Saccharomyces cerevisiae S288C: one gene and its partner. Changing the gene in region 1 together with any one later gene gives a genetic interaction. Each region holds a gene or a part of one and is shown in the gene's direction. Other genes may lie near its edges.

What was found.
Region 2: of MAL11 (region 1) and IMA2, changing one enhances a phenotype caused by changing the other (phenotypic enhancement), as found in Saccharomyces cerevisiae (one study listed by BioGRID).

The regions. Positions count from the first base shown.
Region 1 is NC_001139.9:1,073,853-1,077,779, reverse strand, and holds MAL11 (alpha-glucoside permease), read left to right. Parts: upstream 1-1,966; coding exon 1,967-3,817; downstream 3,818-3,927. Other genes in the region: alpha-glucosidase MAL12, read right to left, coding at 1-1,181. UniProt on the Saccharomyces cerevisiae protein: High-affinity uptake of alpha-glucosides such as maltose, turanose, isomaltose, alpha-methylglucoside, maltotriose, palatinose, trehalose, melezitose and glucose. Acts with the concomitant transport of protons into the cell (symport system).
Region 2 is NC_001147.6:22,570-26,496, reverse strand, and holds the start of IMA2 (oligo-1,6-glucosidase IMA2), read left to right. Parts: upstream 1-2,202; coding exon 2,203-3,927. Other genes in the region: hexose transporter HXT11, read right to left, coding at 1-1,224. UniProt on the Saccharomyces cerevisiae protein: Alpha-glucosidase with specificity for isomaltase, methyl-alpha-glucoside, and palatinose.

The DNA.
Region 1 (3,927 bases):
ATCTGGCCTATCTCCTGACCTTGATAGACATACAACGTACCTGTCAATGAACATTCTAGCAATGTTAACAGCTTACCAGATATTTTACGGTACTTTGGCGAATCGTCAGCAAATCTCGTAATTGACCGGGCTTGATCGTGATTCTCGATGTAGGTGGTAGCCCAACTATCAGTACCGTTAATGAACAAAAAGTTCGATGCAATGGCTTCTTTCCATTGTTTCAAGGTGAAGGGCACTATGTTATAACGGAAAAATGGCGAGGTACCAACTTCAACGTGCGTGAAGGAGAAAACTTCGCTGACTTCGTATCTAGCTGCACTGGTGTATAAAGCATTATCACTTCCATGGGCAACTTCACCGACTGTCATTATTTCTCTACCATCTTTCACCCTGTTTTTCATAAATCTGTGTAGTTCTTGATGATATTCATGAATCCTAGGACCATTGTGAGACCCCCAATTTGGATGTTGTAATTTCGAGGTTTTGTCAAAAATTGGGGAATCTGGTAAACCAGGACGTTTCGAATACAAACCAGCGGTATCGATTCTAAAACCATCTACACCATGGTCCAGCCAAAATCCAACAGCACTTTCAAAGATTGCCCTTCTGCAGTCTTCATTCTCCCAATTCAAGTCAACTTGACGACTCGCAAACAAACGGAGGTAAAATTCATTTGTAGTTTCATCAAAAGTCCAAGCTGAACCACCAAAGAAAGATTTCCAATTGTTTGGAGGAATTGGCTTGCCTTCGGCGTCATAACCCTTAGGAGGTCTCCAGAAGAACCAGTCACGCTTCGGATTGGTCTTCGAGGATCTGCTCTCTTTGAACCATTCGTGTTCTGTAGAACAGTGGTTGATAACCAAATCGGTGATGAATTTCATACCCAGCTTATGAGTCTTGTCAATTAGCTCAAAACAGTCCTCATTGGTACCATATGTGGGCCAGACCTTTTCGTAGTTGGATATATCATACCCCATATCTTGTTGAGGAGAGTCATAAAACGGACAAACCCAAATAGCATCAACGCCAAGATCTTTAATATACTGCAACTTGGAAGTGATACCTTTTAAATCACCCCAGCCATCGTTATTGGAGTCTTTAAAACTTGCTGGGTAAATTTGATAGATTGTGGCCTCTTTCCACCACTTTGGTTCTGTTTCTGGATGATCAGAAATAGTCATTTATGTAATTTAGTTACGCTTGACTGATGTACATTTGAGATTATCAAAAAAACTGCTTAAGAGATGGATGATTTAATTTTTTAGAGACGTATTAATGGAACTTTTTATACCTTGCCCAGAGCGCCTCAAGAAAATGATGCTGCAAGAAGAATTGAGGAAGGAACTATTCATCTTACGTTGTTTGTATCATCCCACGATCCAAATCATGTTACCTACGTTAGGTACGCTAGGAACTAAAAAAAGAAAAGAAAAGTATGCGTTATCACTCTTCGAGCCAATTCTTAATTGTGTGGGGTCCGCGAAAATTTCCGGATAAATCCTGTAAACTTTAACTTAAACCCCGTGTTTAGCGAAATTTTCAACGAAGCGCGCAATAAGGAGAAATATTATCTAAAAGCGAGAGTTTAAGCGAGTTGCAAGAATCTCTACGGTACAGATGCAACTTACTATAGCCAAGGTCTATTCGTATTACTATGGCAGCGAAAGGAGCTTTAAGGTTTTAATTACCCCATAGCCATAGATTCTACTCGGTCTATCTATCATGTAACACTCCGTTGATGCGTACTAGAAAATGACAACGTACCGGGCTTGAGGGACATACAGAGACAATTACAGTAATCAAGAGTGTACCCAACTTTAACGAACTCAGTAAAAAATAAGGAATGTCGACATCTTAATTTTTTATATAAAGCGGTTTGGTATTGATTGTTTGAAGAATTTTCGGGTTGGTGTTTCTTTCTGATGCTACATAGAAGAACATCAAACAACTAAAAAAATAGTATAATATGAAAAATATCATTTCATTGGTAAGCAAGAAGAAGGCTGCCTCAAAAAATGAGGATAAAAACATTTCTGAGTCTTCAAGAGATATTGTAAACCAACAGGAGGTTTTCAATACTGAAGATTTTGAAGAAGGGAAAAAGGATAGTGCCTTTGAGCTAGACCACTTAGAGTTCACCACCAATTCAGCCCAGTTAGGAGATTCTGACGAAGATAACGAGAATGTGATTAATGAGATGAACGCTACTGATGATGCAAATGAAGCTAACAGCGAGGAAAAAAGCATGACTTTGAAGCAGGCGTTGCTAAAATATCCAAAAGCAGCCCTGTGGTCCATATTAGTGTCTACTACCCTGGTTATGGAAGGTTATGATACCGCACTACTGAGCGCACTGTATGCCCTGCCAGTTTTTCAGAGAAAATTCGGTACTTTGAACGGGGAGGGTTCTTACGAAATTACTTCCCAATGGCAGATTGGTTTAAACATGTGTGTCCTTTGTGGTGAGATGATTGGTTTGCAAATCACGACTTATATGGTTGAATTTATGGGGAATCGTTATACGATGATTACAGCACTTGGTTTGTTAACTGCTTATATCTTTATCCTCTACTACTGTAAAAGTTTAGCTATGATTGCTGTGGGACAAATTCTCTCAGCTATACCATGGGGTTGTTTCCAAAGTTTGGCTGTTACTTATGCTTCGGAAGTTTGCCCTTTAGCATTAAGATATTACATGACCAGTTACTCCAACATTTGTTGGTTATTTGGTCAAATCTTCGCCTCTGGTATTATGAAAAACTCACAAGAGAATTTAGGGAACTCCGACTTGGGCTATAAATTGCCATTTGCTTTACAATGGATTTGGCCTGCTCCTTTAATGATCGGTATCTTTTTCGCTCCTGAGTCGCCCTGGTGGTTGGTGAGAAAGGATAGGGTCGCTGAGGCAAGAAAATCTTTAAGCAGAATTTTGAGTGGTAAAGGCGCCGAGAAGGACATTCAAGTTGATCTTACTTTAAAGCAGATTGAATTGACTATTGAAAAAGAAAGACTTTTAGCATCTAAATCAGGATCATTCTTTAATTGTTTCAAGGGAGTTAATGGAAGAAGAACGAGACTTGCATGTTTAACTTGGGTAGCTCAAAATAGTAGCGGTGCCGTTTTACTTGGTTACTCGACATATTTTTTTGAAAGAGCAGGTATGGCCACCGACAAGGCGTTTACTTTTTCTCTAATTCAGTACTGTCTTGGGTTAGCGGGTACACTTTGCTCCTGGGTAATATCTGGCCGTGTTGGTAGATGGACAATACTGACCTATGGTCTTGCATTTCAAATGGTCTGCTTATTTATTATTGGTGGAATGGGTTTTGGTTCTGGAAGCAGCGCTAGTAATGGTGCCGGTGGTTTATTGCTGGCTTTATCATTCTTTTACAATGCTGGTATCGGTGCAGTTGTTTACTGTATCGTTGCTGAAATTCCATCAGCGGAGTTGAGAACTAAGACTATAGTGCTGGCCCGTATTTGCTACAATCTCATGGCCGTTATTAACGCTATATTAACGCCCTATATGCTAAACGTGAGCGATTGGAACTGGGGTGCCAAAACTGGTCTATACTGGGGTGGTTTCACAGCAGTCACTTTAGCTTGGGTCATCATCGATCTGCCTGAGACAACTGGTAGAACCTTCAGTGAAATTAATGAACTTTTCAACCAAGGGGTTCCTGCCAGAAAATTTGCATCTACTGTGGTTGATCCATTCGGAAAGGGAAAAACTCAACATGATTCGCTAGCTGATGAGAGTATCAGTCAGTCCTCAAGCATAAAACAGCGAGAATTAAATGCAGCTGATAAATGTTAAGTAAAAGGGTTGTTTTTTTTTTTTTGGAAGAAATAAGGAATCCCTTTGACTGCTCCCAAAACCCTCAGCTAGCTCGAGATTTTATATATATACATTTTTTATTTTTCTGT
Region 2 (3,927 bases), on another chromosome or scaffold:
CAACTTTGTCACACCGACGGAGGCAAACACAGCAAAGCAGCATAGCATAGAAGCAGCACCCCACAATAGACACGTACGGCGTCCAAACCTCTCAATGGTGTATACCGCTATGAATGAAGAGAAAAAATTAACCACACCGATAATGATCGAAGTCTGAAAGGAGTCCTTTAGACCGACAGATTTGAAGATGGTGGTACCGTAGTAAAAGAAGTAGTTGTCACCGGTTAATTGCTGCAGCGATTGGATCATCACTCCCATGAGAACACGCTGAAAGACCTTTGTTTTAGTGGAGAGTAGTTCAGACCATGATGCGTTACCTGCCAGCTTTTCAAGTTCAATTCCTGCCTTTATAGTGTCATATTCAACTAGCAAGGCTGGATCGTCAACTGAGACTTTGTTGGATTTCGATAGTGAACGTTTCGCTTCCTCATCTTTACCAACCTCAATCAGGTAACGTGGTGATTCTGGTACAAACATCATTCCACTAACCATGAATGTAGCCCAGGCAAAGCAAAGACCAAGGCCGACTCTCCATTGAGTGGCGTTGTGATAGTTCTTGGTACCGTAATTGGTACAGTATCCTAGAAAAATACCCATCGTACCCATCAGCTGGTACAATTGGACCAGAGTTCCTCTGATATGTTTGGGAGCAACTTCAGATATCAACATTGGGGAAAGGACAGCAATGCCTCCCACTCCTAGGCCAGAAATAATTCTTCCAATGAAGTATTGGTACCACTTGTTTATGGAAGTTATTTGGATTAGGATGCCTACAACGTAAATGGCAGTAACTGTAATCAATCCAATACGACGACCATATATATCACCGACTTTTGACAAGACAATTCCGCCTATGGCGCAGCCAATGTTGAATATTGAGACGATCAAACCCATTCTTACTTTCGATAAGTAGTAGGTTCCCTTGTCATTTTTTTGACCGAACCTTCTGATGAAATCAGAAAGGTTAACAAAACCAGAAATGGTACCGGTATCCCAACCAAAGATGAAGCCGCCAAATGCAATCATCAAACACAGGATTGCGACGGTGGTATACGCAGAGAGGGGTTTTTGAGGTAAGTCAATAGGTGGCTCATTGGCATCTAGGTTAAGGGAATTTTTAGAGTCACCGTGTTCAGTCTTAACAGAGGGAGCGCCTACTGCTGAGTTAGAGTTAGACATGGTAGTAGATAACTCATTTGCGGATGTATTATTAACACCTGACATGATATTGAGTAATAACAAAAGCGTTTAGAACTAAATTGTGCAATGATTATTTTTTTCAACTCATACCAAAAAAAGAAGAAGAAAAAGATAGGAACAAGTGTGCTCTTCTCTAGTTACACAACTGTGACATTATATACCTTTAATTAGCGAAAAAGAGGAACTGAGAAAGATGAGCCTAGACCTTAAGAGCTAAGTAGTATACGGTGTGTCGAACTGCTACTGATACTTTGAACGAAGGTGTCCGAGTGTATGCATTGTTCGTGTGGTCAGCATTTATTGTGGAGGAGGCGGTTTCATCTACAATTTCCGACGCCTGATTTTCCACGGATATAATTTATTTTTTGACACCTGGAGTTTACATTTCACAAAATTTCTTTCTTTTTTAGTTTTGCACTGATTTCCCCTGAAATAAAGAAAAAAAAGAAAAAGAAGGTTTTGTGAAGTGCCAAGGGATGCACGAGAAAAGCACTTATAACTCGCACGGAGAAATGATTATGTAATTTTCGCGGAGAAATGATTATGTAATTCCGCGGAGAAATGGTTATGTAATTTTTGTGGGGAACTGAACAAGGTCAGTTTACGCTTCGTACTTTGTCGTGGGACTACGTATACGCAAGATTGCGGAGGCAGTGCAATAATGGGGTCTGCTTGCAGATGGTATGATCTGCTATAACGGGCCAAGGGCCAGGCACGCTCTTGCAGAACATACCATGTTATATCATGTAGGTTGTGCAAACATTACCTAAAACTGAAAGCTTCGTTTACATACAGCACTCCTTCCAGATCCTAAATTTACTTTGTTCTTTTCTTATTTTCGATCATTCGTAAGACGTCCATAGGCACGTAAAAGACATATATAAGTAAGAAAGACTTCTTCACTCGAGGAATTAGCTGTACTAGAATATATGTTCCATTCACCAGTCCAAACACACAAACAAAAGTGAAAGTTTTTTCATAAAGAAAAGAAAGCAACGTACAATGACTATTTCTTCTGCACATCCAGAAACAGAACCCAAGTGGTGGAAAGAGGCCACAATCTATCAAATTTATCCCGCAAGTTTCAAAGACTCCAACAACGATGGGTGGGGTGATATGAAGGGTATTGCCTCCAAGTTGGAGTATATCAAAGAGCTTGGTGCCGATGCCATTTGGATCTCACCATTCTACGACTCGCCACAAGATGATATGGGTTACGATATTGCCAACTACGAAAAGGTCTGGCCAACCTACGGTACGAACGAGGACTGCTTTGCCTTGATCGAAAAGACACATAAGCTTGGTATGAAATTTATCACCGACTTAGTCATCAACCATTGCTCGAGCGAACATGAATGGTTCAAAGAGAGCAGATCCTCAAAAACCAATCCAAAACGTGACTGGTTCTTCTGGAGACCTCCTAAGGGTTATGACGCCGAAGGCAAGCCAATTCCTCCAAACAATTGGAGGTCTTACTTCGGTGGTTCTGCATGGACGTTCGATGAAAAGACACAAGAGTTTTACTTGCGTTTGTTTTGCTCCACCCAACCTGATTTGAATTGGGAGAATGAGGACTGTAGAAAGGCAATCTACGAAAGTGCCGTTGGATACTGGTTAGACCATGGTGTAGACGGCTTTAGAATTGATGTGGGAAGCTTGTACTCCAAGGTTGCTGGTCTACCAGACGCTCCTGTGATTGACGAAAACTCAAAGTGGCAACCCAGTGATCCTTTCACAATGAACGGACCACGTATCCATGAGTTTCATCAAGAAATGAACAAGTTCATCAGAAACAGAGTGAAGGATGGCAGAGAAATTATGACAGTTGGTGAAATGCAACATGCTACTGATGAAACCAAGAGGTTGTATACAAGTGCATCAAGACACGAACTTAGTGAGTTATTCAACTTTTCCCACACTGATGTCGGGACTTCGCCCAAGTTCCGTCAAAATTTGATCCCATATGAACTAAAGGATTGGAAGGTTGCCCTTGCTGAACTTTTCAGATACGTTAACGGAACTGATTGTTGGTCAACAATTTATCTGGAAAATCACGACCAACCTCGTTCAATTACCAGATTTGGTGACGATTCTCCTAAGAACCGTGTTATTTCTGGTAAGTTGTTGTCTGTGTTGTTGGTGTCACTGAGCGGTACTCTATATGTGTACCAAGGACAGGAACTGGGTGAAATCAATTTCAAGAACTGGCCTATCGAAAAATACGAGGATGTCGAAGTTAGAAATAACTATGATGCGATCAAGGAAGAGCATGGAGAAAACTCGAAGGAGATGAAGAGGTTTTTGGAAGCAATTGCCCTTATTTCCAGAGACCATGCTAGAACACCTATGCAATGGTCTCGTGAGGAGCCAAATGCTGGTTTTTCTGGTCCTAATGCTAAACCATGGTTTTACTTGAACGAGTCTTTCAGGGAAGGAATTAACGCTGAAGACGAATCCAAGGATCCCAACTCGGTTTTGAACTTCTGGAAGGAGGCCTTGAGATTTAGAAAGGCACACAAGGATATTACTGTATATGGATATGATTTTGAGTTTATTGATTTGGACAATAAGAAACTGTTCAGCTTCACAAAGAAATACGACAACAAAACATTGTTTGCTGCTTTGAACTTCAGCTCTGATTCGATTGACTTCACGATTCCAAACAATAGCTCGTCGTTTAAGTTGGAATTCGGAAACTACCCAAGAAGCGAAGTTGATGCGTCTTCC